Linked DNA regions of Arabidopsis thaliana. The protein of the gene in region 1 purifies or fractionates together with the protein of each later gene. This does not show direct contact. Each region holds a gene or a part of one and is shown in the gene's direction. Other genes may lie near its edges.

Region 1 (9,043 bases):
GAAACAGAACAGCACAGCAACAGACGACATCAACAAGCAAAAAGATCTGTTTCCACGTGACCCAATCTTGGCCATACGGTCCAGTCTCATCGATAACCACCTGAGCAAAGTTAGCGACAACCTGGAGAGGAATGACAATCATCAAGACCTTCTTTTCCTTGTCCTGCAAGTAGGGCTTCAAGAAAGACCAACCGGTGCCGATCAAGACGATCAAAGTGAAAAGAGTGATACCCTTAAGGAAATTGAAAATGTAGAACAAGACATCCCAACCATGAGCAGTTCCAGTTTTCTTAATGTACGACTTATCCTCAGCCTCACAAAGAAGGTTCAAAGCTTTCAAGACAACAACTCCCAACATGAAGAAATGGATTGCGAAAACAGTGAGACGTTTCTTATAGAGAACGTAGATCCACGTGGCGGCGAGAGAGAAATAGATAACAGAGAATAAGAAATAGACCTTAGGAAGAACAGTTCTTCCAGCAGAGAGATAATCACGACCTCCCTTTTTACCTTCAAGGTTATACATAGCGGATCTAACATCCATACTGATTTTGACCTGTTGGAGACAATTAGCGAAGACGAGAGAGTACTGATCCGCATCGTTCTCGGTGAATACGGTGGAGAATCTGCTCTTATCTCCTCCCTTGAGATTGTTGAAGGTGAACACATGCTTAACGAGATCTGATTGTAGAGCGCACGTGATCTCTTCTTCTTCAAGCTGTTGGATCACATGAACCCAAGCGTCTCTAGTGCAGAGAAAGAAGCCCACTTTGGAGAGATCGAGATCGGGATTGCTGTTGGAAAGCCAGATCTTGGAAGCGTCAAGCTCAAGACGACCGCTGTGAGTGAAACCGAATTCGTCTAAAGGGATGATTGGACGATCATCGGATCGGATCTCTGATTTACGAATCTCAGCCGAAGCTATGGAGATGGAGATCAAGAGAAGGATAAGGATCGATGAGAAGCGTGAAGAGAGATCCATGGGAACTAGGGTTTCGTTCTTCGACTTCACAGAGAGATTAATCTGATCTCAGATGTGAGATCCAAAGCAAAATCAATCCAACTTGTTCTTCTTCCGATGAAAACGGTTGTGTGTGACCAACCAAATTAAATTAGTCTTTTTTTTCTTTCTAAGAAACAAAATAAATACCATTATTTTATTAGCAACAAGAGAACCCATTTTCCTTCATCATTAAGGGAATAAACCATCTTTGACGGATTAGTTGATTTCTAGAAACAAAAATTTCACCAATTCACCGATTCCAACCGAATGGCCGGCGTTTCCAGTGTATTTGAAGGAGTTGTAGAGTGATAGGGAAGAATTCATAAATTTCTCTTTATCTTTAATTTCTCGTAGTGCAAATGTAAAAGCGGATAAGTTGGCACGAAAGATTCGTACCGTACCGCATCATGTCACGTATGTAAACAATATCTCTCGGGATTGGATCTTTTGAGTTCAAATTTATATCGGTTGACAAAAAAAAAAAAAAAAAAAAAAGGAAGAAATTAAAGTATTGATGAATTTCGTTTTGAATTGGTCGGAAATTGGATGTATAAGTTGAGAACAAATTATCCATCAATTTAAATCATAAAATGTTTTTCCGAATGACTTTTTTTTGGAGATGTATTATTTCTAAATGTTTTTACGGTTTCTTTAGATCTCGTTCAGATTGTATCAACAAGCGCGAAACCTTCATTAAACATAAATGGTATACAAAGAAAGCTTAAATACTAAACCGGAGAGATATTATCTATTTATAATAGATTGGTTTGACTGTTTGAGTGTCTATGGTCTAACTCTTGTCCTCTCTACACAACCCGACACTAAACCAACATCTTCCACTCACATATGACGAAAAACATCAGAAAGTAGTAGAAGAGTACTCTTAGAGATTTTGTTCAAGAATCGCAATTCGAAAAAGTTACACTGCAAATAAACCGTGTGACCCGTGCAAGTATATGTGCTTTTGGAAGCTAAATTCATGCAGCTGCTACGGAGACATACAGTCTACATACCTAAATATATTACATAGCATGTCTCACTCCAACCTCATTTGTATTTCATATTAGTCTCAACATATTCCCATAAAGCATATGTTAAACCTATTTTACATCACGTTTTCACTAACTTCAAAATTCTAATTTGAGGGATAGAAGTTGGTCACATGATACATATTTGTTAACGTATGAACATCATAAAATCTAACAATTGATACAAGAGTATGTAGGATACAAAGTTACACGTTGTGTTTGTCTCAAACAACATTAGTAACATTTTTTAAAAAAATTGTGTAGACAAACACAACATTAGTAACATTTAAAAAAAAAAATGTGAACCGGTTTATTTTTTCACCACTTAGCTGGAAAATAAATAACGTGTATTTGCGTAAACAATACATAAGGTTTAAAAATGTGTTAGTGCTATGTTTTATACATTTCTAAAAAGCGTTTGGATCTCACCAACCAAACATAGTATTTGCCAAAATGCAAACGCTATCTAAAATCGATGTGACATTACTAGTCAGATTTAGTGGGTTTGTTCTAGAAAAGATCTTTATTTTATACATTCAAATTTTCAAAACTACAGTTATTTTGTTGTTTAGTGTCATCCTTTTGAATAAACAATCATAATCCTTAACGTCTCTTATCTTTTTTTTGAATCCTCAATCTATGGACCGTTTGAACTGCAATCGTAATGAGGATGTTCGTGGTCCACATGAAATCACTTTACTCTACTAATAAGTGATAGTTTTTTTATTCGAATTTTAACTCGTTACATTCTTTTACAAGAAAATCGACCTTGTTATATTTATTTATATGGTTGGTCATGCATGCAATAGTATTATCATTACTTTACCTGGTTAGAGAGATGTGGAATATTAAGGGATTGGTTGAATATATACGACACACCTCGTCGTTTTTATTTTGTTTTTGGTCAACTCCTCGTCGTCTTTGAATTCTCGAAATAAACACCATGCCGTTTCAAATTTTCTTTGGAAAAGAAAAGACCCTGTATTGGCTTTTATATAAACCGCTTTCTTCCCCTTTACTTTTTCCCAACACTAGCAAGCAAAAATTCTTCATCGACTCAAATTCAAAAACTCATCTCTCTCTATCTCTATTTCTCTGGTTCCATAGCTCACCGTCGCATCGCAGATCTACTCCTTCCGCAATAAATTTTACCGGCGGAGGTATCAGATCTCGCCGATCTGTTGTAGCAGCTACTGTATTTTGGGCTTCTCATTTGATATTGGGGAAACGAGGAGTAGAGGACGATGGAAAATCTGATCTCTCTGGTTAACAAGATACAGAGAGCTTGCACGGCTTTAGGAGACCATGGAGACTCCAGCGCTTTACCTACTCTTTGGGATTCCTTGCCTGCGATCGCCGTCGTTGGTGGTCAGGTTTGCATCTCGATCTCCTTCCCCTTCCATTATATGCTTGACGATCTATCTCACGATTCGTTCGTTTTTTTTGCGATTCGGAATTGATATTGAGCTGAGGTATTCGGATAAATTTGCCCTAAACTTCGTTGTTTTTGCTTATCAACATCCGGATCGTGAGGAATTATAGTTTAATAGCTTCTACTATGAACTAGCTTTGCAAGCAATTGGTATTGAGGAATGTTGACTTGGCTTTGACTTGGATATTTTTTCACTAGTTGGTCTTGAACCATTTAATTTAAGCTACGATTGTTGTGGAGAGGGGTTTCTGTACTTTGATAATTCTATGTGGCATTAAGTTTATGTTGTATCCTTATTGTGTTGACAGAGCTCAGGGAAGTCTTCAGTCCTGGAGAGCATCGTGGGAAAGGACTTTTTACCCCGTGGATCTGGTAAATACAGTGTTAACACTTCTTACTTAGTTTTAATTATGAAATTGCTTATTTCCTTGAGTAATGACAATATGCATTTGCGGTAACTATTTGTAGGCATTGTTACTCGAAGGCCCCTTGTCTTACAGTTGCAAAAGATCGATGATGGAACCCGGGAGTATGCAGAGTTTCTTCACCTCCCGAGGAAAAAGTTTACTGATTTTGGTGGGTTTCGGCTATCTCAATTTGCAGTTCAAGTTTCACCTTCTCCTGTATTCCATTGATATTTGATTAATTTAATCACCTCTATAGCTGCTGTGAGGAAGGAGATTCAAGATGAGACTGACAGAGAGACTGGACGCAGCAAGGCTATTTCTAGTGTTCCCATTCACCTTAGCATATACTCTCCCAATGGTAAGGACAACCCAAAATCTCTTTCCAGTTGTATGTGCTTTTTGTTCATTCTCTAATTTTTTATCCTCTTTACTATGTGTGCAGTTGTCAACTTGACACTGATAGATCTTCCAGGGCTTACAAAAGTTGCTGTTGGTAAGTTACAGTAGAGCAAGAAGTTTTGGTCTATTTTTTCTAGCGATGAAGCATGAGGCAATAGACTTTATTCTCTACCATACATAATTTGGCATGACACGACAAATTTCTTTTGGTTGATGCAGATGGACAATCTGATAGTATAGTGAAGGACATTGAAAACATGGTTCGGTCCTACATTGAAAAGGTAAATGAAAATGCTTACTCCCAGACCCTTTAATGTTTTATAGATAGCTATCGCCAGTTTAAATTAGATTCGGTAATATATAAGTATTCTCCCTATATTTGTTATGTTTTCGTAGCGCCAAATGAGTTGACACTATTCTGTTTTTTTTTTTATTTAATTAAATTTCCTTATAGCCCAACTGCATCATTTTGGCAATCTCACCTGCAAACCAAGATCTTGCTACCTCAGATGCAATTAAAATTTCCCGTGAGGTTGATCCATCGGGTGAGCATTTTACAAACAATTCATTTTTCCACCTAAGAGACCCAACACATTATTCTGTCATCCTATGTCTCTTATAATCTTGGTGATCTTCACAGGGGACAGAACATTTGGTGTCTTGACAAAGATTGATCTTATGGACAAGGGGACGGATGCAGTGGAAGTAAGTTGAATTCCCAGTTTATAGAACATCTGTACTAGAATTTCGAATTACTGTGAATAAAATGTGTTGTAATTAGTCTATGATATGATGTTGGAGCTATAAAATGCTAATTTGTGTAGTAACATCATAATACTTATGTTCCCTCATTAATGTTTATTGCGTGCACCGCTACTTACCAAATGATATTTTTTGCTCAGATTCTGGAAGGGAGATCTTTTAAACTTAAATATCCGTGGGTTGGTGTCGTCAACCGTTCCCAAGCAGATATTAACAAGAATGTCGACATGATTGCGGCTCGGAAAAGAGAGAGGGAGTACTTTTCCAATACTACTGAGTATAGGCACCTTGCTAATAAAATGGGTTCCGAGCATTTGGCAAAGATGCTCTCCAAGGTACGTGCTTTCACGAGGCTAGGGGTAGTTTTCTTCACCAGGTTCTTTATAATAAGTAAGTTGGCGTTGTGAAATTTGTTAGGAGTGGTAAATAAGAGTTTCAGGGCCAGTGTTTTCACGATTGCTGCTAATTTTCTTAGCAGCCGACAGAAAATACTAAGAAACTACGAAGTTATGGCAATGCTTAGCACGTTTCTCTGTATAAAACCATCAGGACAGAGCCTAATTGCAACAATTTTATTTGTTGCGCAGCATCTAGAACGTGTGATCAAGTCGAGAATTCCTGGCATTCAGTCACTTATTAACAAAACAGTATTAGAGCTGGAAACTGAACTAAGTCGCCTTGGAAAGCCTATTGCAGCTGATGCAGGGGTAAATTGTGTATTCTTTTATTTTTGATTGAATTGCGCTATCAAGATTTACTTAATGTTCTGATGCAGGGGAAGTTGTACTCAATAATGGAGATATGTCGGCTTTTTGATCAAATATTCAAAGAGCATCTTGATGGAGTGTACGTTTTGACTCTTTTTACTTCAAATGTTTAAGATTACACCATGAGTTGTTATAGCGTCTGAGTTGATATTTCTACTCTTGACCTTCTGAAACTACAAAAGGAAAATTGTAATTTAAGACTATGGTTGATTACACAGGCGTGCTGGTGGTGAAAAAGTGTACAACGTGTTTGATAACCAGCTTCCTGCGGCTCTGAAGAGACTCCAATTTGACAAGCAGCTAGCGATGGACAACATCCGGAAGCTGGTCACTGAGGCTGATGGTTACCAGCCTCACTTGATTGCTCCTGAGCAAGGTTACCGTCGTCTCATTGAGTCTTCTATTGTCTCCATCAGAGGCCCTGCTGAAGCATCTGTTGACACCGTATGAACTCTTTACTTTCATCTCTAAAAAGATGTATCAAAAACCTAACACAAAACAATAAGCTTCTCTCTCCGTTTTTTTTTTTTTCTATGGTTAAATATTAGGTTCATGCTATCTTAAAGGATCTGGTTCACAAGTCTGTGAATGAAACTGTGGTACGTTCTTTTTTCTTTTAGTAATATATATATATATATATATATCTCCAACAACTAGTACTTTTGTACAATGTTATAGACGGTTTGAACATGTGCAGGAACTAAAACAATACCCAGCTCTGAGAGTGGAGGTGACAAATGCGGCGATAGAGTCGCTGGATAAAATGCGGGAAGGAAGTAAGAAAGCAACACTGCAGCTGGTTGACATGGAGTGCAGTTACCTCACTGTTGATTTCTTCAGGAAACTTCCCCAGGATGTTGAGAAGGGTGGTAACCCCACACACTCCATTTTCGACCGCTACAACGATTCCTATCTCAGACGAATCGGTAAGGTTAACCCATATAAATAAATAATTATCTGGTACCGTATATCTCACAAATTTTAGACATTTGGCAACAGGATCCAATGTTTTGTCTTACGTGAACATGGTCTGTGCTGGCCTGCGGAATTCAATCCCCAAGTCCATCGTATACTGCCAAGTCCGAGAAGCGAAGCGCAGTCTCCTCGACCATTTCTTTGCGGAGCTCGGTACCATGGATGTAAGTGCTCTCTGCCTTTTTTCTTAACCTAAAGAAGTGTCATTCGGGTAAACACTGAGTCAACTAATATGGTGATATCCAACAGATGAAGAGGCTCTCGTCGCTATTGAACGAAGATCCAGCAATCATGGAGAGACGCAGTGCCATCTCAAAGCGGCTAGAATTGTATCGAGCAGCCCAATCCGAGATCGATGCTGTTGCTTGGTCCAAGTGATACCGGCATGTCATGTCCACTGTTTTGCTCGGTTCTGGTCGGTGTGGCTCAGACTCGGAGCAGAGATTTAGGGTCTGTAATTTGTATAAGATGATCTTCCCGATACCATGCAGTATCGTTTTATATAACATCCACATTGTTTGTCCTACCTCTATGTTTTTTGTCCATCACCCGATATGTTACGTATCGTTTTATAACATCCACATTGTTTGTCCTGCCTCTAATGTTTTTTGTCCATCACCCGATATGTTACGTATCTTTTATAACATCCACATAGATTAGATTTTCTCTATTCCCTTTATTTAATTACTATAAAATGTATTTTTCGCATATGATAATTTTTCTGTAACAATAGTATAATATTAAACATTCTACCCAAAAAAAGAGTATAATATTTAAATATGATTACCAATAAGAAAAAAATTCTAATAGTTTAAAATAAAAATTTGTAATGTACTCTTTTTTATTTTGTTTTGCGTTTCTGAATTTGTGGCCATTATCTTCTCACACTCTCTTCTCTTAGCTCACAGAGGAAAGAAAAATGGCGAATTCCATTTCATCAATATCTCTGCCTCGATGTTTCATCTTCAACAATGGTAGTCACAAATCAAGGCCATGGCCAAGCTCAAGCAGTTTCTTTCTCAACAAATCATCAAAGCATCATCCTCATCCACTACTCTCTCTTTCTTCTTCGCCGTCTTCCGTCGTAGAAACTGATAATGACGACGACAACGACCTCACTTTCAGGTACCCTTTTGCTTCTCTTCATCGATTCCATTGGAAAGCTTAAACCTTTCTCAGCTAATCCAATTTCGTTGACATTAAGGATTTTAGAGTTAGTGATAGATTAGGGATTGCGTAAATGATGAAATCATAGAGACTCTTTTCTGCTGTTAACTTGTTAGTGTTATATGAATCTTCAATTTTGTTACACTAGTGAATCTCTTAAAATGATTCTCTACAATAACTAACCTCATAAATTTCTTTGTGGTCTCATGTTGGCTTGAGCGATTGGTTATATTGTCATTTGTGAATTGTGATGGATCCATCTCTCTATAGTCAATAGATCATAACATGAGGAATGAAACAGTGGTTGCAGAGCGTGTGGGAAAGAAGAGAAAGAGAGTGGGTGTAATGGTGACGGACGGATTCAAGGTGGCATTGCAACTGTCCCCGGTTTCGGTTGGTGGCCAATTAAGGCTTACAGGCCTTGTCCCGCGTTTGTTGAGGCCGGAGGTAGATACCGCCGCATAGGGCAGAGCATGGACGAGGTTGCATTTGGTCGTGGTGACTCTAAATCCTCCACTTCTGTAGACACCAGTGATTCACTACTACGGTATGTTAATGCCTAGTATTATTTATATACACTTACAATCAACAATGAAACAAATTGGACCGCAACAAAAACCGTCTTTTGGCATGTACAAGAATGTCAAAATGGGTTTGAGAACCTTGCAGAGTAATGATGATCATGTTCTTCTCTCTTTGTTTGTTTTGCAGCCAGACAAAGCCAACAAGTTCTAGCAAAAGTTCAAACAAGTGATATATAGCCCAGTTTTTCAAGTCCAAGAAGAACTTTTTTTGGAAATGTGTAATGATGATTGGGCCTAAACATATTATCGGCCCATTTATAATTTTACGGCTCAATAGTTAAGAAACCCTAAAGAAGGTTTTATCACTCGTAAGAAAAAACAAAACAAAAACCCTTTGGTTTCTCTCTGTCGGCGAGACATCATCAATGGAGGAAGTAGCGAGAGAAGAAGTAGAGATCGACAAGGATCTGCGGAGGAAAATAAAGAAGACGGTGAAGAAGATCTTGGAAAGTTCGAACTTGTACAAGATAACAGAGATTAAGGCGCGAGAAGAAGCTTCACTTAAATTGGATCTTGATC
Region 2 (9,806 bases), on another chromosome or scaffold:
TCAACTCTCTAAAAAATTCAAGTATAAAAAACCCATCAGAACCAGACAGAATTCTTTAGATTTTTTTATCAAGTAGATCTAGCATACAATGACACAGACCATCCATGATTCATCAGATGACCAAGTTGAAGAACCAAACAAAGCGTTATGCAATTACCAGGATCATTGTGACATACAGAGAAAATTAAAGGGATTACTACAATAAAAGGTGTAAAAATCAACAAGAGAAGCTTATATAATGTGTCTATGAATTAGTCTTTTATAGTTTCCTAGTTCACAGCTAAGCAGATCACAGCTAAGCAGATCACCTCTATAATAAAAGCTGTTCCCGATCATTAAACTAAAACCAGCTATGTTCCAAATAATCACATAATAGCAAAATTAGTAACAAAGCTTCATCTAATACACAACCTTGAAACAGATGTAGCTGACAGTGGAAGAAACAATTAAAAGGTTCAAATCCTATAAACAATCTCAAATAGTCACGCGCCAGTGTAACTTGGATTCCATCATGCCGATTAGATCTACATGTTGTTCCTCTAGAGAACTAGATCTCCATGATCCAGAATGACTATATTTCTTATCTACTTATCTATTACTCTGTTCTTGTATACAAGATTAAGTCACTGGTGAAACTAAGTATTTGTTTTGTTCTGATCCACTGAAGAACACAAGCAAGACACAAAAAGTTCACTGTCCTGCATCAAAACGTACCTGGCTGGGGATCTGGCGGTCGTAAAAGGGAGAATCACGAGAGACATTCATGTCGTATCCAGGAGGCGTATGAACATAAACGGACAAGTACTTTTCATTGCCTTTAAAAAACTTCTCCCAAAGCGGAAGCATAGGTAAAGGCCCTCTCGTCAGAAACATAAACGCCACTTTCGGAACCCTATCGTACGGATACTCTTCCTTCACCGGAACCATCGAAGCTCTCCAGAACAACTCATCATCAGTCATTCCATGACTCAGATTCTCTGGCCGAACAAACCCATCAATGCTCCAACAATCTCGAACCTTTGGTTTCTCCGCCTTGACTCCTCCGTCGTCGCTCTCGTTGTCGTCGTTACCTGTGCAGTCTCGGTGGATGATTGTGCAATTGGAGTAATCAGGAGTCGAAAAAGGAATCGATTGGAGGTTAGTGGTTGATGAGAACATCCTCGGCAAAGAATTGAAGTAGCGATCGATGTGAGAACTTGCGGCGAGACCGATGATGATTCCAGCCATGAAAATTAGCAAAAACGACAGCGTTTGCGCCAGCTTTAGTAACCCTATGTGTTTTTCTCCTTCCTCTTTCCCTCCTCTCGCCATTGTTCGAGAAACTCAAAACTTGTCTACCCAAACAACAACACAGTGATGATCTCTGTTCCCCAAAAATAAAGTTTCAGGGAAACATTCTTATGATTCAAAGAGAATCTGATTGTTTCAAGCACAAATCCATTGCATTCAATCTCCTCGAGAAATTTCCTAAATTTGTAACATATAATTAAATCCAAGGATCAAACGAAATCGAAAAAGGTAAGTGGATAAATGGAAATTGGATCTGTGGAAATCTTCGAGGAAAGTGAGAAACGATGACTGAAACAGATCAGAAACTGAATTTCATGCAGAGAGGAAGAAGAAGAAGAAGAAACATAAACAAATCTGGTCTTTTGTTTCTTCCAGTTGAAATCTATGTGTGTGTGTGGTTGATTTTGATCTTATATATATAAAAGAACAAAATTAATTGGAATGTTATGCTTAATTTAATTAGATTAATTGAGTTTAAAACTCCACGTCGAAAAGCATAACGAGTTCAAAGTCCGCAGATCTTGCCAGATGGGAATAATCTATTGGTTTTAAGTTATTGGGCCGGAGGGCCCACGTTTAATTGTGACGTGGTTTAGTGCTCGTCAACTCTTTGGTCCGACATTTCACTTTTTTTTTTATAGAAATAATTCTAGATATCCAGTAGTCAAACTTATTGATTATCTAATTTCTATATCCTTACTATTTTTAAAAAAATTACTTTTAACATTTCTAGAATTTTTCGATTTTTTCTGTACTTATTAACTATTAGTAAAATTTATTGATGCTTCTTTTGGTTATGTTATAGTATTGAGACAATGTATTGTATTCTAATTTTGATTTTTTTTTTCCTTTTTAATGATTTGTAGATTTTGTTTTTTCATTATTATATTTGAAAAAATATCTTCTTATATCTTAATCACCAGAAAATCTAAAACCGATGGCTATACTAATTTCCGGAATATATGAAATGTTTATTTTTCTATTAAGGATCCAAAGCAGCTAATTAAGATTAAAAACTTGGGAAGAACTAGTATCCCAAACAAACAATATGATATCCAGATGTCCAAAAGGAAAAAGAAATGGTATCAAAAGAACCAAGAAATGTGCCTAGAAATTTCATATAGTTAGCTTGGAAATTTCTGATTTTTATGTCCAATGTTTATTTATTTTTTCCTTATAATTATACTTGTCATACATCACAAAGAATTGTCAACATTGCCAAACTAGTCCTAAGATGTTGGAAGGTATGATGATAGACAACAGTTCTAAAGAAGGGAAGATGAGATTCAGGCAACAAAAAACACATATAGTTCAAAAAAATTAGGTTGGTAGGATCAATTATTCAAAAAACATACACCAAATAGATTTTAGTAGGGGTTGTTTGTCCAAAAAAAAACTATAATAGTTTACGAAAATAGTTACACCTTGTGAATAGATTTTTTGTTTGCCTTCCCTTGAGGTAAATTATGTCGCGAGAACTATATGAACAACAACGAGATCCACAACAACATTTGATTACATTTTTATTTGAACCTTCACATTGATTTAGTAATGTGGGATTCCAACATCATCTAATGTTATATGAATGGATCTAATAGATGATAAATTGTTAAATGAACTGATAATTTTTTTTTATTTTTTTATGTGTATTTCACATCACATTGTTTTTTTTTTTTTTTTTTTAAGTAAGAAAAAGAAGAAGCACTTGAGACCGATCAGAAAAAAATTAGAAAGATATGATTTTTGTAAGTCTTTTGAAATTTGAATCTTGTCCCGTGTAATTGTGAAATCTTACGTACGTCCTCTTTATGACCTCGTCTTCGCTCATTTCTGCCTTCCCTTACGAAATCCCCAACGAAAAATCTTAGCTTAACACCATCGCGACCGGATTCCAAATTCCGGCCCATCGTCTCACCGGGAAAGACCCCGCCTATTGCCGCCGATTTCGGTTCCGGTCTGCTCAGATCTAATCGAGTGGCTTCCTTCTTCCTCCAGATCTCTTCACTTTGAATCGGTTACTCGATCTCGATTCGCGGAGGGCTTTTGCTAGTCGCGATGGAGGCGATCGATGAGTTGTCTCAGCTCTCAGATTCGATGAAGCAGGCGGCGTCTCTCCTCGCCGACGAAGATCCCGACGAAACCTCTTCTTCCAAGCGCCCTGCCACTTTCCTCAACGTCGTTGCCTTGGGAAATGTGGTGAGTTCCTCGCTCTCACTCCACGCTCCTCGATTTTCCTCTCTTTAGGCTCGTGCTGGTTTTATTCTGTGTTCGAGTGTATGTTGGATTGCCATATCGTGGATCTTCTGGATCTAGATTAGGTTTTTATCGAATTTTGCTAGGACACACTCATCGTTTATAGCTAGTTTTGTTGGGATTCTCTTTATTAGTGGATATATGGTTACATGAGGAGCGACTCGTGCCGGAGAAGGCTGATGTATTTTGTTATTTGTTACTTATCTCTTTTTGCATACTGAACCAGGGAGCTGGAAAGTCTGCAGTTCTAAACAGTCTAATTGGGCATCCAGTGCTGGTAAGTTGTACATTGAGTCTATGGTTATTATTGGCTTACTCCTTTTCTTATACTAATACTGACCTCTGTTGTGTCTGCTACACTTACTATACACAGCCGACGGGTGAGAATGGTGCTACACGAGCTCCTATAATAATTGAATTGAGCAGGGAGAGTTCTTTGAGCAGCAAGGCAATTATCTTGCAAATCGACAATAAATCTCAACAAGTTTCTGCAAGTAAGTCTCTATCTATGAACATATGCAATTTAGCAATGCTATGTGAGGCTCTTTCTGCATTTATGATAAAAAAATTTCGATCAGTCTTCTCATAATATCTCCATTGTGTTCTACATGGGTATATTTTAGGTGCTTTGAGACATTCTCTGCAAGATAGACTTAGCAAAGGAGCCTCAGGGAAGAATCGTGATGAAATAAACTTAAAACTTCGTACCAGCACAGGTAAGCCCCTTTTTACTTGCACAATCATAAGTGGCAAGCCTATATCTACTCTTCAAATAGCACATCCTTAGCTAACCTAAGTTGGGTGTATGAATTTATCTTTGATACCCGTGAACTGGTCAGCTGTAATATCTTGCTATCCTTATATACTATCTAGTACACTAGTTTAGAGCTTCTAGCTTTACTTTGGTGGGTATCAGATTAAATATCTAACGGAGCTTTAACATAAACAGTACACACTCTTTTGAACATGAGTTATGACATATGACATATGACCGACAGTTTCGTAGTATTAAATTTTCTTTGACCATCATAACCTGTTACGTTTACCCTTTACATTGCAGCTCCACCATTGAAATTAGTTGATCTGCCTGGACTGGACCAGAGAATTGTGGACGAGTCAATGGTGAGGCTTGGAACTACTTAATGCCATTGTCATATCCTTAACTTGCCTGACAACCACGAAACAAAAGATTTTGACTATTTTTATCGGTTTCCTACTGAAGTGATAATATAGATTCATTATCATGTTTATCCTTTTGAAATTGTTGTTTGTTTCTTGGGTCTCTTTGCAAGATTGCTGAATACGCGCAACACAATGATGCCATACTGCTGGTTATAGTGCCTGCTAGCCAGGCATCTGAAATTTCATCATCCCGAGCCCTGAAGATTGCAAAGGAGTATGATCCAGAGAGTGAGTACATCTGTATTTCCGATCTGTCTTATCTTAATATTGTTTATTATTTGTATACCTGATAAGAACTGTTGATTTACCTACCTATTATCACTTCAGTTTGCTTAAAATACTCATTAGCTAACATCACTCCTCCCTACTTATAGGTACTAGGACAATAGGCATTATTGGAAAAATTGACCAGGCAGCAGAGAACTCGAAAGCCCTTGCAGCTGTTCAGGCTCTTCTTTCAAATCAAGGACCTCCAAAAACAACTGACATTCCATGGGTTGCTGTTATTGGCCAATCCGTTTCAATTGCGTCAGCACAGTCTGGAAGTGGTGAGAACTCCTTAGAAACTGCTTGGCGTGCTGAGAGTGAAAGTCTTAAGTCCATTTTGACTGGGGCTCCACAAAGCAAGCTTGGCAGAATTGCGTTGGTGGATACCCTTGCTAGCCAGATTCGTAGCAGAATGAAGCTCAGGCTTCCAAGTGTCCTGTCTGGGTATTGCTTCTCTCCATATATGTGCTTTCTTCATGATTTTTATTATGGTGTTGGCATATGACATTGGTTGCTTGAACGCATATGGCTTTCAAATTCTTTGTACAGGCTCCAGGGTAAGTCTCAAATAGTGCAGGATGAGCTAGCGAGGCTTGGTGAACAACTAGTTAACAGTGCTGAAGGTACAAGGGCTATAGCTTTGGAGCTTTGCCGTGAGTTTGAAGACAAGTTTCTTCTGCACTTGGCTGGTGGTGAAGTAAGTACATTCTTACAAAAGTTAACTAGATTTAGTCGAAAATTCAAGAATATAGTGAGAGAGAAGAACTCTTCAAATATTAGCAATCAGCCATTTCAGATTTGGTACTAGTGTAGTGGAAAGTCTCTTGCTAGCCTACGCTTGGTAAGAGCACATTATATTGTTGGGAATCTCATGAATCTGATAGTGGATGTTTATAATATGTGTATAAGCCAACTGAGTGTTTGATATAGAGTTTTTGTACTTGTCTGTGTTCAGTTTATGGGCTGAAGTCCCTTTTGGAGCTTGGCAAATGTTTTTCTCAAAACTTTTTGATTCTTGTTCAGGGAAGTGGTTGGAAAGTTGTTGCAAGTTTTGAAGGAAATTTCCCCAACCGTATCAAGCAGCTTCCATTGGATAGACATTTTGACCTGAACAATGTTAAAAGGGTGGGTGTCTTCTTCTGTCCTAAGTTTCTGCACGAGACAAGTTTTGAGACTTGATTTGTCAAAATATCTTTGATTTTCAGGTTGTTTTGGAGGCAGATGGTTATCAACCTTATCTTATATCTCCAGAGAAAGGGTTGAGATCGTTGATAAAGATTGTCCTTGAGTTGGCTAAAGACCCGGCACGCCTTTGTGTTGATGAGGTGTGCTTGTTTACATGTTTTTTTAGGTACATGCAGTAGGATTGAATTTTAGAAATTTACTGCATTGTGAACTGGCTATGGCTTGTCTCACTTTAATTCTTCGAACTGTTATTTAGAGTTCTGTCAAGTTTTCTGGTTTATAAGCCTTAGTAAGTTAATATCCCTTACCGTAGATGTAGCTATTTTTTGGTTCCTACTTTAAAACTCATGCATCCAGCTTCTGTCTTATTTACGTGTTGAGCTAACATGGTCTTAACTTTTGATTAGGTTCACCGAGTTCTTGTTGACATAGTTTCAGCTTCTGCAAATGCTACACCTGGACTTGGGAGATATCCTCCTTTCAAGCGAGAGGTAATAATGATTTTTTGGTGCTTTATTCAGTAATATTTTATCATTTCGGTAACAGTTATTCCTTTCTGACTAATCATCAACCAGGTTGTAGCTATAGCAAGTGCAGCACTTGATGGTTTCAAGAATGAAGCCAAGAAAATGGTGGTTGCACTAGTTGATATGGAACGCGCTTTTGTACCACCTCAACATTTTATCCGTCTTGTGCAAAGGAGGTATTTTGGCTTGTCTTTCTTTGCAATTTTTGTTTTTATTTTCAATGGTTCATGACTGAAAATTATTTCTCTTTCTGACGATGCACTGTATTGACTCCATCAGAATGGAAAGACAACGTCGCGAGGAAGAGCTGAAAGGGCGATCTTCTAAGAAGGGACAAGATGCAGAGCAGTCCCTTTTAAGCAGGGTGTGTGTTCATTCTGTATCAATTTGGATATACGTAGTGAAAAATGTTTTTTTTTTTTTTTTATCGTTTTACATGAAAATATATAATGTGGAAATTCTCTACATATATGTTTATCAGGCTACTAGTCCTCAGCCAGATGGGCCAACAGCTGGTGGTAGCTTAAAATCAATGAAAGACAAACCTAGTCCGCAAGATAAAGAGACGCCGGAGGTCTCTGGTCTGAAAACTGCTGGACCTGAGGGGGAGATAACAGCAGGTTGTTATTCTAATATACATCTACCCAGTTACTGTCTAAAAAGTTTCATTCTGCTTTTTCACTCCCGATTTGCTTTCCTTACGTTGCATGATTTTATTGCTGCAAAGCTTTGCTCTTAGTCCAAGTGCATGATTTCTTCATGTCTTTTTCTTCTTTATCACTTAAAACTAACTTGACAAAACTAACTTCCAAGGTAGATAACAAATACTTACTCTTTTCATTTAGGGTACTTAATGAAGAAAAGTGCAAAAACAAATGGGTGGAGTAGGCGATGGTTTGTTCTGAATGAGAAAACTGGAAAGGTCAGCATTTTGAAACGTATATTCTTCAGTTGTTGAGAACTTACTGACTTTACTGTTTACCTTTTTCTAGCTTGGCTATACCAAAAAGCAAGAAGAAAGAAACTTTCGGGGCACGATAACTTTGGAGGTACCATTCTCTTCCTATGCTTTATTTTCTGCCAAAGGTGAACTATAATTAGATATGACATGGAAAAAAGAATTAGAGAAGAATATAGTTCGTATTCACCTTGTTATTTTCTCCCACACTGTTTCCTTCTTGGAGAGTGACAATTACTTGTGTATTTTGAAGCTTATGCTTCAAATATTTAATAGTTCTGTTATTATCGATGAGAAATTTGGATACTCTATAGATAACATTTTTTCCATGTTTTTCTAATTATACTTCCTCCAACTTTATTAATCCACTCAGGAATGCACTATTGAAGAAATCCCCGAGGACGAAGTAGAAAAGTCAAAGAGCTCGAAGGACAAGAAGGCAAATGGACCTGATTCAAAAGGACCAGGCCTTGTGTTTAAAATAACCTGCAAGGTTCCCTATAAGACTGTACTCAAAGGTACATAAATCAATCATTATAAGAATTCAAACTTCTTAATCTTCTATTCGCACTTTTATGAGTTTTCCTCAAACTATTATGTTGCAGCTCACAATGCCCTTGTGCTTAAGGCTGAGAGTGTAGTCGACAAGAACGAGTGGATTAATAAGTTGCAAAAGGTTATCCAGGCTCGTGGAGGCCAAGTGGGCAGTGTTTCCATGAGGCAGAGTCTTTCAGAAGGTTCACTTGTGAGTCACTCATGGGCAGCTTTTCTTACATTTCCTCTTCCTTAAATCTATGTTAGATACGTTCACTAGTCTTATGGATTACTTATTATCACTATGAAGAAAGTTTGAAACTTCACTTCGGAAGGTTTGAAACTGTTGGAAGAGCAAACAAAGCTATTTATGTTTTATTGAACATTGTCGAATTTTTATTATTGAAACATTTTTCCTATAGAAGGCTCAGTTTATGGGGTATGCATGATACTACTTTTAAACTTGACATAAGTTATGTTTGACATTTAAGGTTTTTATTGTTTATAATATTTTCTGAGACTTACGTTTTTTTCCTTGTCTGTATTTCAGGATAAGATGGTTAGGAAACCCATCGATCCAGAAGAGGAGCTCCGGTGGATGTCCCAAGAAGTACGGGGTTACGTTGAAGCTGTTCTTAACAGCCTTGCAGCCAATGTTCCAAAGGTGAACTATCCTTATGCAAAAGCTCGAAAGCTCTAAATTTTCTTGTCCATCTCTTTTCTCTTACAGAGATTCCTCGGTCATGCTACTAAGCGATGTGAATTGACCATGAACAGGCTGTTGTTCTTTGTCAAGTAGAGAAAGCAAAGGAAGACATGCTGAATCAACTCTACAGTTCTATAAGGTTCAATATCTTTTCGTTCCCTGTGCCTTGTTTCGTTTCAGTTGTGGTGTGCTTACTTGTGCTCTCCTGTATTTGATCTTTAGTGCAATAGGCAATGAAAGGATTGAGTCATTGATACAAGAGGATCAGAATGTCAAAAGACGAAGAGAGCGTTACCAGAAACAATCCTCTCTTCTTTCTAAACTCACGAGGCAGCTTAGCATTCACGACAACCGAGCAGCAGCTGCTTCAAGTTATTCGGACAACAGTGGCACTGGTAAATTCATCCGCCTTATTATATTCGAAACATGATAACAGTTCTTCTGCTTGCTTGGTTTGGATTGATACGGTTTCTTAAATACCATCTGAAAGATCTTCAATGAAACTTAGGTTTATAAATCTTTTAATCTTGGTATCACTTGTCCTACAGAGAGTAGCCCAAGAGCAAGTGGAGGTTCTTCAGGGGACGACTGGATGAATGCCTTCAACTCCGCTGCTAATGGACCCTCAGACTCATTGTCAAAGTACGGTTCCGGTGGTCACAGCCGCCGTTACAGTGACCCTGCGCAGAACGGAGATGCAGCATCACCAGGGTCTGGTAGCAACCGCCGCACCACCCCCAATCGGTTGCCACCAGCACCACCGCCTACAGGTTCAGCTTATAGGTATTAGAACCTGAAGAAAAAACCCTGGAAGCGCATTGTGTCCCGTTTTCTGGGACTACGTTACTCTTATTTTTTCTAGTTTAAGACAGTGATTGGATGATTGTACTACTGTTTTTTGGTC
Region 3 (6,460 bases), on another chromosome or scaffold:
TCGTGATCATCATTGTGTTCATTCTAGATCTCATTGCTGTTGGATTAGCCATTGCTGCCGAACAAAGAAGAAGTGTCGTAAGAATCACTTCTCTCTCTCTCTCTCTAATTTGTTTCTTTACTCTCTTTTAGATTTCTTGTTCTCTTGAAGTCAAATTTTGGTGATGAGATTGTAATCTTTATTTGGAACATATGTAGGATATAGTGTTTTGACTTTCAAATCAGTTTTGGTACAAAAATATGTGTCGGTGCGATTTCTTGTAGTGGACTCTTTCTCAGATCTGATTCAAGAATCTTGTTTCTTGATCGATATGGAGCTTCACATTGTGATTTGAAGATCTTTGTAGACTTTAAGACCTTTGTAGATAAGCGTAGCTTACTACATTGTTAGATCTCAGATTAGTGGTTTTTTGATGCAGAAGAAAATGGCTGAAGATCTATCATTTTGCTTAAGTTTCTTGGGCTCTTTTGTTTGTTGTTTTGCAGGGTAAGGTTGTTCCGGATGGTGAGAAGGAATTTGAGCATTGTGAGTATGGCTCAGACATAGCTACAAGTTATGGAGCTGGTGCATTTGTGCTTCTCTTCATTAGTCAAGTCATTATTATGGTGGCTAGTCGGTGTTTCTGCTGCGGCAAAGCTCTTAAACCCGGTGGTTCAAGAGCTTGTGGCATTATGCTCTTCCTTATTTGCTGGTAAAACTCTATACTTAACACAATCTCTATAATTTATGACTTTGACTTGACACATCATTCTACACTTGGTTTTGAACAGGGTGTTTTTCTTGATTGCTGAGGTATGTTTGCTCGCGGGATCAATCAGAAACGCGTACCACACTACGTACAGAAGGATGTGGAACATCGAAAACCCTCCTAGCTGTGAAGTGATCCGTAAAGGAGTGTTTGCTGCTGGTGCTTCCTTTGCTCTCTTCACTGCTATTGTCTCTCAGTTCTATTACATCTCCTATTCTCGTGCCCGAGACGGTTACCAAACCCCACATTACTAGTGAGTAGTGAGATCCAGAACAAGAAAAGCTAAACCCTGAATGAGTTTGTCCATTTATCCACTCACTGATCAATAGGATATTAAAATTTGATGATGTTAGTCATTTTGCTTCTTGCTTGTATCACAATTGTTTTTTTTTGTTTTCTTGTGATGTATAAAATCTTATTAATATAGACAGCTATTCTACATTTCAGTATCTAAGCTTATTGTTACAGTGTAAGTTTTATACATTTTAGAGTTCATAACCTGGAAACAGAGCTTGTGTTGGATCATTCATGTCGAGTAACATGTAGGCCATTCCTCCGATACCTTCAAAGAGAGAGAAGGGTCTATCTCCTCCATGCATTTGACCTTCTGAGATTAACTTCTCTGATTTATCGAGTAGGAAAGACGCGAAAGCTTTAGCGCGGTACAAATACTTTGGGTTTCTTGTTAACCGGTATAGAGAAAGAAACACGTATGTGTTTCCGCTGATACCGTGACAGATTCCTACTCGTTTAAGCAATCCACGGCTCCACACAACTTCTCCTGCCTCCATTGCTGCCTCTACAAATTCCTTAGTGTTATAAACCTGACGATATCCAGAAAATGAGTTTTGCATTGTGGTTTTACTTACTGATAAGAGTACTTCAATCAACAAATGATTACCTGAGCTGCCTTTACAAGTGTGAGAGCAACACCAGGAGCACCGTGACACCAGTGAACAAGGCGATCTGATTTGCTTCCTTCACTAGATAGGTAATTCCCGCTAGGAAAACGGTTTTGTATCATATAGCTTAGTGTACCTTTGACATCTTTGATTTCATCTGGTTCAAGTTCCGTATGCATCAAAACATTCATGATCCCAGCTAAACCGTGTGCAGCCCCCCAGTACCTCTTCCCGTGCCACTCATACATCAATGGACAAGTTCCTTTATTCCCGAGTTGTCTTCCTGCCCTGAAGATTTCCTCAACCACTGATCTCTGAAGATATAGAGATATCATAAAATCTTGAACTTTCTTGAGTAAGTCAATTAACCAAAGAAATTTTATAACTTTATTATACCATTCGTTCAGATGATATACTCTCCTGACCAATATGCTTATTCAAGAACAAACACGCCCACAAGTATCCTGCTCTACCATATAGCAACTCATATGGCAAGTCACTAGGAAGCCTAATCTGTTAAACAGATCAAAGTTGCAACACTCAAGCAAAGTATAGAACAAGTTATCTATTTTCACTAGAGCAAAAGAAACTGTAATTAGTAATTACCCCTCGGAAACGGGCTAAGTAACGATCATATAACTGGTCATCACCTAAACACTTCGCTGCAACAGCACCAAGAGCACATACACCAGCATAGCCACATATAAATGTCACTCGCCTGATAGAAACCACAATCATTACCCCGAAATGAATTCATGAAAATTGGATCATTGAAGAAAATTCACTTACTCAGAATCTCTTGAAGCTACATCACAAGCTTCAACATTCTCTAAGCATAGCTTAAGATCATCTTCATTTCTAGTAACCTGATAAGATTTGAACAAGAGATAAGCTGTCCCAAGAACTCCAGTATACAAGTTATAATCTCGAACACGTTTTCCAGATCGTTCCCATGTCTCCCAGACTACCTAAAACAGAATCACCACACAAACAAGAGAAAACACAACTTCACTAGACTAAAGAAAAGTCATAAATTCATTATAACTACATAACTTCATTATAACTCAAAATCATATATAATCAAATTGAAAAGTGAGTTACTTTATCTTTGATGCTTAGAGCATATCTGTGAAGCTTCTCTGAGAATGATTTGTACGGAAGTGATAGCAGTTTCGTCAACGAATCTTTACATTCGGTAACAGTTTCTTCTTCTCCGGATAAATCTTCCGGTACAAACTCCGGCATCTCATTTCGGAAAAACCGTTCTCCCATATCTCTCTTTCTCTCAGCGGTTGCTGCAGAGGACCGCGAAGAACAGAGACTAACGACGAAGTGACGAAGTGACACATCGTTACCATTATTAATGGGCCTTAAGTTAAGCCCAATAATGACCGGCCCATGATTTTTTCTCTCTGTTTCGTCTCTGACCTTAAAACACTTGCTAAAACCCTAGAGAAAACGTCTCTACGCGGAAAAACAAAAAAATGGGGAGGAAGCGGAAGCACAGTGAGACGGAAGCTCCGGCGCCGGTGAAAAAGAGCGATGAGCCTGCTCCGGATAGACCCAAAAGGACTCTATTGGGATGGAAAGATAAGAGTGAAGGTGAAGCTGAGAAAGCTAAAGCTTTGACTTCATCTGGATTCAAGAACAAAGAGAAGGTTTTGGTGACTTGTTCTCGTCGTATCAGTTTCAGGTTGAGTTTAAATTGCTAAATTTGTTTCCTTTCTTTTGGTTTTGATTTCGTTTTTAGGGTTTGAAATTGATTTGTTTATTGGGGATTTTTGTGTGAAGGTATCGGAGTTTGATGTTGAACATTGTTTCACTTCTACCACACTGTAAGAAAGACAGTAAAGTTGAAGCAAAGAGTAGCAAAGGCGCGACTTTGAATGAGCTCATTGAGCTTAAGAATTCTAATTCCTGCTTGTTCTTCGAGGTAAAGTTTCCATCTTACTTATTTCTAGGCTTAGTTTTTGTTCCATGTAGTCAGATTTGTTCCTTTACTGTGGAATGTTTGACTCAAAAGTCAAACCTCAGAAACTTGTGATTAGAATACTCGATGGAAGCTTATGTATATGCATATTGATGCAAATGGACAATCTTTGACTCTATTGGTATTTAGTATTTGTTCCATGTCATCAAAATTTGATAGTTATCCCAAATTGTTAGGGTTTGGTTTGTTGTGGAAGCTTAATATATGCATATTGATGTAAATGTACAATCTCTGAATGTATTGGTTGATTTGTATTTGTTTATGTTTCCATTTTCAGTGTAGGAAACATAAAGATCTTTACATGTGGATGGTCAAATCCCCTAATGGACCATCTGTGAAGTTTTTGGTTAAAGCTGGTAAGAGTCGAGATCCTCTGACTTTAGTTTAAGTGGCAAGAGCTGATAGATCTAGTCACGTATTTAGCTATGATGGGTTCAATCAGCTTGTGTCTTGTTCTATATCTGAGTTCTGTTTCTGTAACTATGTATTTTTTGGTAAAAGGATTTTTACTTTTGTTCTCTGTATATTGAAGTGCACGCAATGGAAGAGATGAAACTCACTGGAAATCATCTCAAAGGGTCACGTCCACTTTTGACATTCTCATCCAATTTTGATAAAGATGCGCACTGGAAACTCTTGAAGGAGATGCTTACTCAGGTTGTTGCCAGATTCATATCCTTGGATAATGTTTTTGGTCCATTAGTTCTCAAGACTTTCACATCCTAATTAGTTTTGTTTTGTTTATCTCTCAGGTCTTCGGAATTCCTAAGGAACACAGGAAATCTAAGCCTTACCATGACCATGTATTTGTCTTTTCAATTGTTGATGAGCATATATGGTTCCGAAATTACCAGATTTCGGTTCCTCACAATGAGTCAGATAAAATTGCAAAAGGTGGCCTGGATAAAATGACCCTTATCGAGGTTTGTGGACAAAGAGTTACAAACTTTTAATAATAGTCTTTCGACCATGGTTTTTGATTGAAATGGATACACTATTGACAACAGGTTGGTCCAAGGTTTTGTCTGAATCCAATCAAGATATTCGCGGGCAGCTTTGGAGGTCCTACTCTTTATGAGAACCCGTTATACGTATCTCCAAACCAGGTATCATTGATTAATCTCTTATTTGCAAGCAAAAGATATAACCAAATGAATCTTAGAACTTTCCTTAAGCAAATTTTAAATCAATGTATTTAGATTCGAGCATTGGAGAAGAGAAATAAAGCTGGGAAATTTGCTAAGAAGATCAAGGCGAAGACGAGGAAAAAGATGCATGAGCTCTCAAACCCGTTGGAGCCTGATGAGTTTGCAGATATGTGGAAAGATGATGAATGATCAGAGTTCAGGAAAATTGTATCACTTCACTTTGTCTTACTGTTATTTTAGTTTTGTCTTGTTTTCGCTCACTATCAAACATAAACAAAGTTTTGTCTTGCAATGATATGTTTCTAAGTTTCTTGACATCATTGAAAGTAAGGAACAAGCAACTCAGGATCATATCTTCACTTTCTCTTCTGAACGCTATTAATCTTTGCACAAGCATCGCCTTTAAAATTAGTTCTACATATAACTGATTATCAACATCTCTGATGCAGCGCATCTCAAATCGTTCTTCAAGTTTGGGCTAGCTCGTTATTTGGGTTTTGTTTCTCAAGGGCTTAATGTTTATTTGGGCTTTTAGGCTAGAGTTTTCATTATCTTTCTTTTATTTAAAGAGACGTAATTCATTATTGTATAGTCACAGGCTGATACTTGAATCACTTGCGCAGAGAATGCACTCCCGCTCAATCGATATACCATCCTAAATCTGGATCATTTCTATTTCCTAAATTTTATCCCTCCGCTTGAACAGAGCTTCTATTATGGCTAAAGAAAGAAGAAACGGTAAATCTATATGCTTCAATTCATGACATCGTCTAGTTTCCTTCCCATGACCAAGAGCCCACGCAGTTGTACCACAAGAGTATACTTTTGAGTCCTTGGTTACCATTGTGAATCTATCCCCCGTGGTTACTTGCATCTGCAAAAGTGAAGCAACTTGCATCATAACAATTCATGCTCTTCAAAACAATTTCTACTGCAACACTTACCAAAATCATCTAACTAAACTGACAAATCTAAGCAAAAAGTCCAAGTCTTTATCAAAGAAACAATATTTTGCCTCTTCAAGTCTTCACCAAATCCCGAGATTTATATCATAACCAAATGGTATGTAACAACAAGCCACGCTCTTTAAAACAATTTCCAAACTTTTATGAAAAAGAAAAATTACATTGCCTCTTGAAGTCTTCACCATAGCACAAGATTCATCAATGGACTGCATGAAACTCAAAACTTGCTTCCAGTTTCCCTCGCATCGTGCAACGAGTTCGTCCTGTTTCTTCAAAGACAAAGCATCGTAGATAGGATGCTCTAAGCATCGACTAGCGGCAGCGTGATCAGCCAATGATTTGAATAGGTCATGTTGGTTCAATTTGATAGGTTAAGTGTTCCTTTAGCATGTATGAGAAAGAGGATGAGGTCTGGAGGGAGAAAGGCTAAGGCCATGGAGAGATACTTGAGGAAGTTACTAAAGAAAAGTGGCTAAAGGAACAAAAAGACTATGAACGAAGTAGAGGCTTTCCTCTACTGTTATTCTATTATGTTTTGTTAAACTCTGCGTTTTGTGTTAAATGTCGAGGTCTTGTATTTAAAACGCCTTTTCCCTCATGTGAACATACAACTATAAACCTAAACCCATCGTCTTCTCTCCTTAGCGTTTAATGGACCATCGATCTCCCTTTTTCCGTTCTTTAAATCAGTTAGAGTGTTGTCGATC
Region 4 (6,492 bases), on another chromosome or scaffold:
TCAAGAAGATGGTACATGGAAGAAGGTGAAGGAAGTGGGAACTGGAACACAGATGACGATGGAGGAGTTTGAGATGTGTGTTGGACATTCTCCCATTGTTCAGGAGCTTATGAGAAGACAGAACGTTGAGGATTCTGATAAGAACACGTCTAAGGAAAACGAAGACAGTGGGAATAGTAATAAGGATAATGCATCCAAGTCTAAGAAGAAAGGAAGTTGGTTTAAGAGTATTAAGAGTGTTGCAAGTAGCATGACTGGTCATAGCAAAGAGAGACGAAGCAGCGATGATAGAGATACATCGTCAGAGAGAGGTGGTCGGAGGTCGAGCTCTGCTACTGATGATTCTCAGGAATCTTCTTTTCATGGGCCGGAAAGAGTTAGGGTTAGACAGTATGGGAAATCATCTAAAGAGCTCACGGCATTGTACAAAACGCAGGAGATTCAAGCGCATAATGGTTCTATTTGGAGCATTAAGTTTAGTTTGGATGGTAAATATCTTGCTAGTGCTGGTGAGGATTGCATCATTCACATCTGGCAAGTCGTTGAGGCTGAGAAGAAGGGTGAGTTGTTACTTGATAGACCGGAACTGTTGCTTTTGGCTACTAATGGGTCTCCAGAACCGACTACTATGTCACCAAGGAGAAGAGGGAGAACTTCTATAAGTAGAAAGTCATTGAGTTTAGAGAACATATTTGTTCCAGATTCTCTTTTCGGGCTTTCGGAAAAGCCCTTTTGTTCCTTTCAGGGACATGTGGATGATGTACTTGACCTTGCTTGGTCCAAGTCTCAGGTTAGTTAGTCACTTTATTTCCTTGGTACTATTTGGAAGAAATTGAATGGTAGAGAAGATTTATGAGTAAACAAGCTTTCTATTATTTGTTTCCTCAGCATTTGCTCTCTTCATCAATGGATAAAACAGTTCGTTTGTGGAATTTGTCCAGCCAGACTTGCTTGAAAGTATTTTCGCACAGTGATTACGGTTAGTAGGTTCTGCGCCAACTGCTTTTAATTGTTCCGTCTTTTGGTACTTATCAAATTAACAATGTGTGTTTTGATTATTGATTGGAACAGTGACTTGCATTCAATTTAATCCGGTTGATGATAGATACTTCATCAGTGGATCCTTAGATGCAAAAGTTCGCGTCTGGAGCATTCCAGATCGTCAAGTAGTTGACTGGTATGATCTTCATGAGATGGTCACTTCTGCTTGCTACACTCCAGATGGTCAGGTACACTGAAATCTGCCAAGTTATGATCTGAAGTCCAGTTTTTTGGCATCTCATGAAGAATCCTTAAAAGAGTTTCCTAACTTTCTAAAGAATTTCTGTTTAAACTTGAAGGGTGTGTTGGTTGGTTCATACAAAGGTAGCTGTCGGATGTACAGTGCATCAGGTACTGATGAAGTTCTTGTTGGGATTTGATATTGGTTTTCTTTCTGCTATTTCTTATGTTTCGACACTAAGTGATAATTATTTTTTCAGATAACAAGCTGCAACAGAAAAGCCAGATAAATTTACAGAACAAGAAGAAGAAAGCTCATCAAAAAAAGATAACTGGTTTCCAGGTAACGAAAATCACTTGTTTAGGAGCAATATCCGGTGAAACAAAACGCGTTGTTCTTGATGGCTCTAAAAGTTCCTTGCTTTGTCTCATTTCATATTTTAGTTTGTTCCTGGGAGCTCATCTGAAGTGCTTGTCACATCTTCCGATTCAAGGATCCGTGTTGTTGATGGAACTGATCTAGTTAACAAACTTAAAGGTAAACAGACAAACAATCGCCTTTTGAAGTTTCAAGCTTTGTCTTCTGTTTACGAGCCAAAGTATCGATCTTTTCTGTTTTCATTTCATTTGATAGGGTTTCGAAATACGAGCAGCCAGATCTCTGCCTCAATCACAGCAGATGGGAAATACGTAGTTTCAGCAAGCGAGGATTCACACGTGTACATATGGAAGTACGAATCCCCTGCTTCTCGACCAAGCAGAAGTAACAACAACAAGAACGTGACAGTCACAAACTCTTACGAGCATTTCCATAGCCAAGACGTCTCTGCAGCCATCTCATGGCCTGGAATGGCCTCAACAGAAAACTGGGGAACCCAAAACAGAGCGGGGTTTAACGGAAGCACCAATAACTTGGACAATATCTCCACAGCTAACCATCCGCCTACACCGGTAGACCAGCTGGGGACTGTGGAGCGATTAAACAGTCCACGGAATGGGATCATATCGAGCGCAACAAACGGATACTTTTTCGATAGAATGTCAGCGACTTGGCCTGAAGAGAAACTGTTGTTTGCAAGGAACAGAAGTGGGAATCGTCTGAGTACGGATATGTCGTCGTCAAATGGAAACTCAGGGAATGTATCGGCTTCTTGGGGAATGGTGATTGTCACTGCAGGTCTCAGAGGAGAGATACGAACGTTTCAGAACTTTGGTTTGCCCATTCGGATTTGATAAAAACTGTACAGAGTGGTGAAGAAAAATCGAGTGAGGTTTGTATTATTGTTAGCTGAGCTTTTTTTTGTTCCTATTCTTCTTTGTTACAGATTTGTTTCCAGGAAAATGGAGAGAAAAAAAGAGAGAAAGAAACTATACAGATCATTGTAGAGTTACAGACACACGAACAGAGAGATATGTTTATTGATTGGAAATAGAAAGAGAGAAACCAAAAAAGGAAAATTCTTTTGCAATGTAGTTTCTTTTGCGTGTCATTAAGGCCCATGTAAGCTTGATCCGGCCCATTGAAATTCCTTGTATAAAAGTGAGAAACGTTGTCGTTTTCGTTGTGACATTTTTAGTTAAAGCAGCTTGTCTCTTTCTTTAGGTTGTTGAGTTTTGTACTAAAACCCTAAATCAGAGAATTTAGCGTTGTTTCTTCTTCAATAGACACAAAAAATGGGGAGGAAGAGAAAGCACAGCGAGACTGTTACGGCGGCACCGGTGAAGGATTCTGCTCCGGAGAGACCTCAAAGGACTCTTTTGGGTTGGAAAGATAAGAAGGAAGATGCTGAGAACTCTAAACCTGCGTATGCGTCTGTATTCAGGAATAAAGAGAAGGTTCTCGTTACTTGTTCCCGTCGGATCAATTTCAGGTGAATGGTGTTGAAATTTACATTGGGTTTGATTCGGTTTAATGGTTATGAATCATGGAGTAACTTTGTTAATTCGTTGGAAGGTATCGACATTTGATGTTGAACATGGTGTCACTTTTACCTCACTGTAAGAAGGATAGTAAGGTAGAAGCTAAGAGCAGTAGAGGTGCCACTCTTAATGAGCTCATCGAGCTTAAGGGCTCTTCTTCCTGTTTGTTTTTCGAGGTAAAGTTTCAATCTTTTTTTTGGCTACCTTAATTCCAGAACCAGTTACTGTTCTATGGTCTGCTCTTCGTAAGGGGTTTGGTAATCATATTCGTATCAATCTTCTTAATTTCTTTTTCCATGTATTTACCTATTTGGTATGAAATGTAACTTGGTAAAACTTTCGTACCATTGATGATAGAAACAAAGAGCATTACAGATTGAATTCTCTTTTGTCTGGTTCAAATTGGGCTCTCTAGTCTCTCTGTTTTAAATGTCAGCATGTCTGGATTTACTTGATTTCAGCATGTCTGTAGAGTATTAAACTGCAAAGTCAATGTATTCTTGATTTCTTCCCAGAAACTGAAGTTAGTACGTGTTTGTTTGTGTTCGTCTTCAGTGTAGGAAGCACAAAGATCTTTACATGTGGATGGTGAAGTCCCCTGGTGGACCTTCCGTTAAGTTCTTGGTTAATGCTGGTAATTTGTCTCCAGCTCCTCTTATTTGGTTTCAAAATAAGTGACTGATGGATATAATAATACTTTGGGTAATGATGAGTTTATCAATTTGTATCGTCTCTGAGTAGTGTTTCTGTAAATTTCTGTATGGTGAAGTTCACACAATGGAGGAGCTGAAACTCACTGGAAATCATCTGAAAGGTTCACGCCCACTTTTGACATTCTCATCCAATTTTGAAAACGATGCACACTGGAAACTTCTGAAAGAGATGTTAACTCAGGTCTCATTCTCACTTTTGAATTGTGGACGATCCTTTTGTAGTCGCGGTTAGTTTGGTTTATATCTTCAACTTTTAAGTTTTGTTTTTTTGCTTACAGATTTTTGGAATTCCCGAGGGACATAGGAAGTCTAAACCTTACCATGACCATGTGTTTGTTTTCTCCATTGTTGATGACCATATATGGTTCCGTAATTACCAGGTAAGTTGAAATTTTAGCATCTCTCATGCTCTCATTTCATTTCAGTTTGGAAACGTTTCGTTTAACTAGCCAAGGCTTCCATTGCAGATATCGGTACCTCATAACGAGTCAGACAAGATTGCACGAGGCGATCTGGATAAAATGACTCTTATTGAGGTCAGGCCATGACTATATATATACTAACACTAACTTACATAATTTCTGAAGAATTAGTTGTTGATTGAAGTAAAAACCTGATGACAGGTTGGTCCAAGGTTTTGTTTAAATCCAATTAAGATATTTGGAGGCAGCTTTGGAGGTACAACGCTTTACGAGAACCCATTCTATGTATCTCCAAACCAGGTACTTGGTTCTTCTATAAGCAACTTGATAGATCACATTGCTATATATGATTATCTGTCAGAGTTCTCATATATTCCAATTTCCTGCCTTTTAGATTCGAGCTTTGGAGAAAAGAAATAAAGCTGGGAAATTTGCTAAGAAAATAAAGGCAAAAACAAGAAGAAAGATGCATGAACTCTCAAACCCATTGGAGCCTGATGAATTTACAGACATGTGGAACGATGAATGATAAAAGTCGACCAAAGTTTCTTTTTTGCTATTGTAAACTTCTAAATTCACAAAATCAACACAGTTTTGTCTTTACCACTGCTTTCTTCCCTCCCTCTTATCTATCAAAGAGTGAGATTGCGAATTTATCACACAGTTGTCTAAGTAAAGACTGCTATGTCACGAAGAAGCAAATCAATTTTATTTCTTTATCGTCTTCATAAGGCTATATTTACATAAACAAGAGTACATAAAAAGAAAACGCAACAAAGAAGCAAGAGTTAACGAAACTAGAAGCAAAATCAACGAGAATTAGCCAGCGCCCAGTTAGCTTCACTTCCTCTTCTAGGGATACTATTGATCTTAGAACAAGCATCAACTTTGAAACTAGCTCCACAAAGAACACCTTCACTATCAATCCTCGGCATTGCCTTCATCATATTAGTCGGATGGTCAAAGCTCTTAAGCCCTGTCTCACTATGAAACATACATCCTGCAATAACAAAAACACAAAACACACATCAAGATCTAAACTCAAAAGTATGTTTCTTTCTTTATAGGGCTAATGAAAAACTTAAGTTTTGGTTTACCATTAGGGAAAGGAGCAAACGATTTAGCACAGCCTTGCTTTATGATCTGAATATCATCAGACATTACAACAGATCCGTCTCCAGAAATTCCCCAGTAAAGACTCTCTCCTCCATCAGAACTCAGAGCTGAGAAAACAGAGGAAGTTTGAGTATCGTAGACAACGAAAGCGAAGCTTCCCTCAAGACCTCTAAGAACTTGATCTGCTGGGTAAGGACCACGATCACGAAGTGTTCGATAAGCTTCGATCACAAACATTGCCTCGTTTGAGTTCTTCCCAGATAAACCGTATTGTCGATTCAATGTACAGAGATTATTCAATCTCCCTAGAAACATACAGTAGATCCCATCTAGTCCACAGAACAACCTGAGCAAAACAACAAAACCATTATGAATCTATGAATTGGATTTAGAGATTTGACTTGTATATATGTGTTTTATGTATATTAGTATATACCTTTGACGAAGAGAGGTTTCTTGGCGAGCGTAAGCTAAGACGGCGGAGTCGCCGAAGTTCATAGAGAAAGCATTGTTTTGGTGATGAGAGAGGAAGTCGGAGAGAGTTTCGCCGGGAAGTTTAGGAGTTTTGCCGGAGAAATGAGAAGCCGGACTGTTGAGTTCTTCCGGTGGGTGAGCAAAAGCTTTCTGAAATATTGCCAACATTTTCGTTTTCTTTGTCTTTGATTAATCCAATGCTTGAAATGTGTTATGTTTTTGTTGAAGACAATGAGGGGTTTTATAAAGGTACGAGATTATTATTACACGAGATGCTGACTTGGATTTTAAGATAAGACTGACATGTCTTACGTGTTCTTATCCGTTTCTTTTTAGACAAAATTATTCTGTAGTTAATCTTTTTTTTTAAAGTGTCTGGTAGGTAAATAAACAAATTGTGAATCCAATGATGATTAGATATTTAATCTGACGAGTAAATCTTTTTGGAATGATATGATTTTTTAAACGTGCCACGATAGAAAAGTAGTATGTTTTTTTTTTGTCATGTTGGAAAAGTGGTAGGATATTTTTTGACAGCGAAATAGTTAAGTGAAATATGATTTTGAATATATGAGATATTTTATTAATACAATCATATAAGATATTTTAAATATCGGAATATCTAT

What was found.
Region 2: the proteins of DL1 (region 1) and ADL6 fractionate together in Arabidopsis thaliana (co-fractionation; one large-scale study listed by BioGRID). This does not show direct contact.
Region 3: the proteins of DL1 (region 1) and AT1G52930 fractionate together in Arabidopsis thaliana (co-fractionation; one large-scale study listed by BioGRID). This does not show direct contact.
Region 4: the proteins of DL1 (region 1) and AT3G15460 fractionate together in Arabidopsis thaliana (co-fractionation; one large-scale study listed by BioGRID). This does not show direct contact.

What each region holds. Positions count from the first base shown.
Region 1 is NC_003076.8:16,818,769-16,827,811, reverse strand, and holds DL1 (dynamin-like protein), read left to right. Parts: upstream 1-2,795; 5' UTR 2,796-3,275; coding exon 3,276-3,404; intron 3,405-3,771; coding exon 3,772-3,835; intron 3,836-3,931; coding exon 3,932-4,039; intron 4,040-4,126; coding exon 4,127-4,228; intron 4,229-4,312; coding exon 4,313-4,363; intron 4,364-4,488; coding exon 4,489-4,550; intron 4,551-4,723; coding exon 4,724-4,814; intron 4,815-4,909; coding exon 4,910-4,974; intron 4,975-5,171; coding exon 5,172-5,366; intron 5,367-5,618; coding exon 5,619-5,738; intron 5,739-5,806; coding exon 5,807-5,877; intron 5,878-6,016; coding exon 6,017-6,242; coding exon of another isoform or gene 6,243-6,248; exon of another isoform or gene 6,249-6,346; coding exon 6,347-6,397; intron 6,398-6,495; coding exon 6,496-6,724; intron 6,725-6,797; coding exon 6,798-6,937; intron 6,938-7,022; coding exon 7,023-7,151; 3' UTR 7,152-7,528; downstream 7,529-9,043. Other genes in the region: AT5G42090 (Lung seven transmembrane receptor family protein), read right to left, coding at 1-982; AT5G42070 (uncharacterized protein), read left to right, coding at 7,693-7,898, 8,242-8,487, 8,652-8,694; AT5G42060 (DEK, chromatin associated protein), read left to right, coding at 8,890-9,043. UniProt on the Arabidopsis thaliana protein: Microtubule-associated force-producing protein that is targeted to at the leading edges of the forming cell plate during cytokinesis.
Region 2 is NC_003070.9:3,367,429-3,377,234, forward strand, and holds the start of ADL6 (dynamin-like protein 6), read left to right. Parts: upstream 1-2,973; 5' UTR 2,974-3,345; coding exon 3,346-3,486; intron 3,487-3,769; coding exon 3,770-3,820; intron 3,821-3,916; coding exon 3,917-4,037; intron 4,038-4,166; coding exon 4,167-4,259; intron 4,260-4,603; coding exon 4,604-4,665; intron 4,666-4,835; coding exon 4,836-4,953; intron 4,954-5,099; coding exon 5,100-5,436; intron 5,437-5,541; coding exon 5,542-5,689; intron 5,690-6,015; coding exon 6,016-6,117; intron 6,118-6,197; coding exon 6,198-6,317; intron 6,318-6,584; coding exon 6,585-6,668; intron 6,669-6,752; coding exon 6,753-6,880; intron 6,881-6,983; coding exon 6,984-7,068; intron 7,069-7,185; coding exon 7,186-7,324; intron 7,325-7,549; coding exon 7,550-7,626; intron 7,627-7,696; coding exon 7,697-7,753; intron 7,754-8,035; coding exon 8,036-8,180; intron 8,181-8,267; coding exon 8,268-8,407; intron 8,408-8,746; coding exon 8,747-8,860; intron 8,861-8,973; and 6 more. Other genes in the region: AT1G10280 (Core-2/I-branching beta-1,6-N-acetylglucosaminyltransferase family protein), read right to left, coding at 1-8, 715-1,311. UniProt on the Arabidopsis thaliana protein: Microtubule-associated force-producing protein involved in clathrin-mediated vesicle trafficking from the trans-Golgi network to the central vacuole. Able to bind and hydrolyze GTP. Binds specifically to phosphatidylinositol 3-phosphate (PtdIns3P).
Region 3 is NC_003070.9:19,708,127-19,714,586, forward strand, and holds AT1G52930 (Ribosomal RNA processing Brix domain protein), read left to right. Parts: upstream 1-3,052; 5' UTR 3,053-3,134; coding exon 3,135-3,343; intron 3,344-3,441; coding exon 3,442-3,583; intron 3,584-3,917; coding exon 3,918-3,996; intron 3,997-4,172; coding exon 4,173-4,297; intron 4,298-4,392; coding exon 4,393-4,563; intron 4,564-4,647; coding exon 4,648-4,746; intron 4,747-4,839; coding exon 4,840-4,977; 3' UTR 4,978-5,182; downstream 5,183-6,460. Other genes in the region: AT1G52910 (fiber (DUF1218)), read left to right, coding at 1-77, 486-691, 771-1,002; GPCR (G protein coupled receptor), read right to left, coding at 1,234-1,572, 1,650-1,964, 2,047-2,163, 2,257-2,368, 2,440-2,618, 2,752-2,922. UniProt on the Arabidopsis thaliana protein: Involved in pre-rRNA processing and required for biogenesis of the large (60S) ribosomal subunit. Required for proper development.
Region 4 is NC_003074.8:5,212,592-5,219,083, reverse strand, and holds AT3G15460 (Ribosomal RNA processing Brix domain protein), read left to right. Parts: upstream 1-2,822; 5' UTR 2,823-2,895; coding exon 2,896-3,092; intron 3,093-3,175; coding exon 3,176-3,317; intron 3,318-3,696; coding exon 3,697-3,775; intron 3,776-3,910; coding exon 3,911-4,035; intron 4,036-4,132; coding exon 4,133-4,234; intron 4,235-4,321; coding exon 4,322-4,390; intron 4,391-4,477; coding exon 4,478-4,576; intron 4,577-4,670; coding exon 4,671-4,805; 3' UTR 4,806-5,000; downstream 5,001-6,492. Other genes in the region: AT3G15470 (Transducin/WD40 repeat-like superfamily protein), read left to right, coding at 1-790, 889-979, 1,072-1,229, 1,341-1,392, 1,482-1,564, 1,666-1,759, 1,856-2,454; AT3G15450 (aluminum induced protein with YGL and LRDR motifs), read right to left, coding at 5,086-5,276, 5,374-5,738, 5,829-6,034. UniProt on the Arabidopsis thaliana protein: Involved in pre-rRNA processing and required for biogenesis of the large (60S) ribosomal subunit. Required for proper development.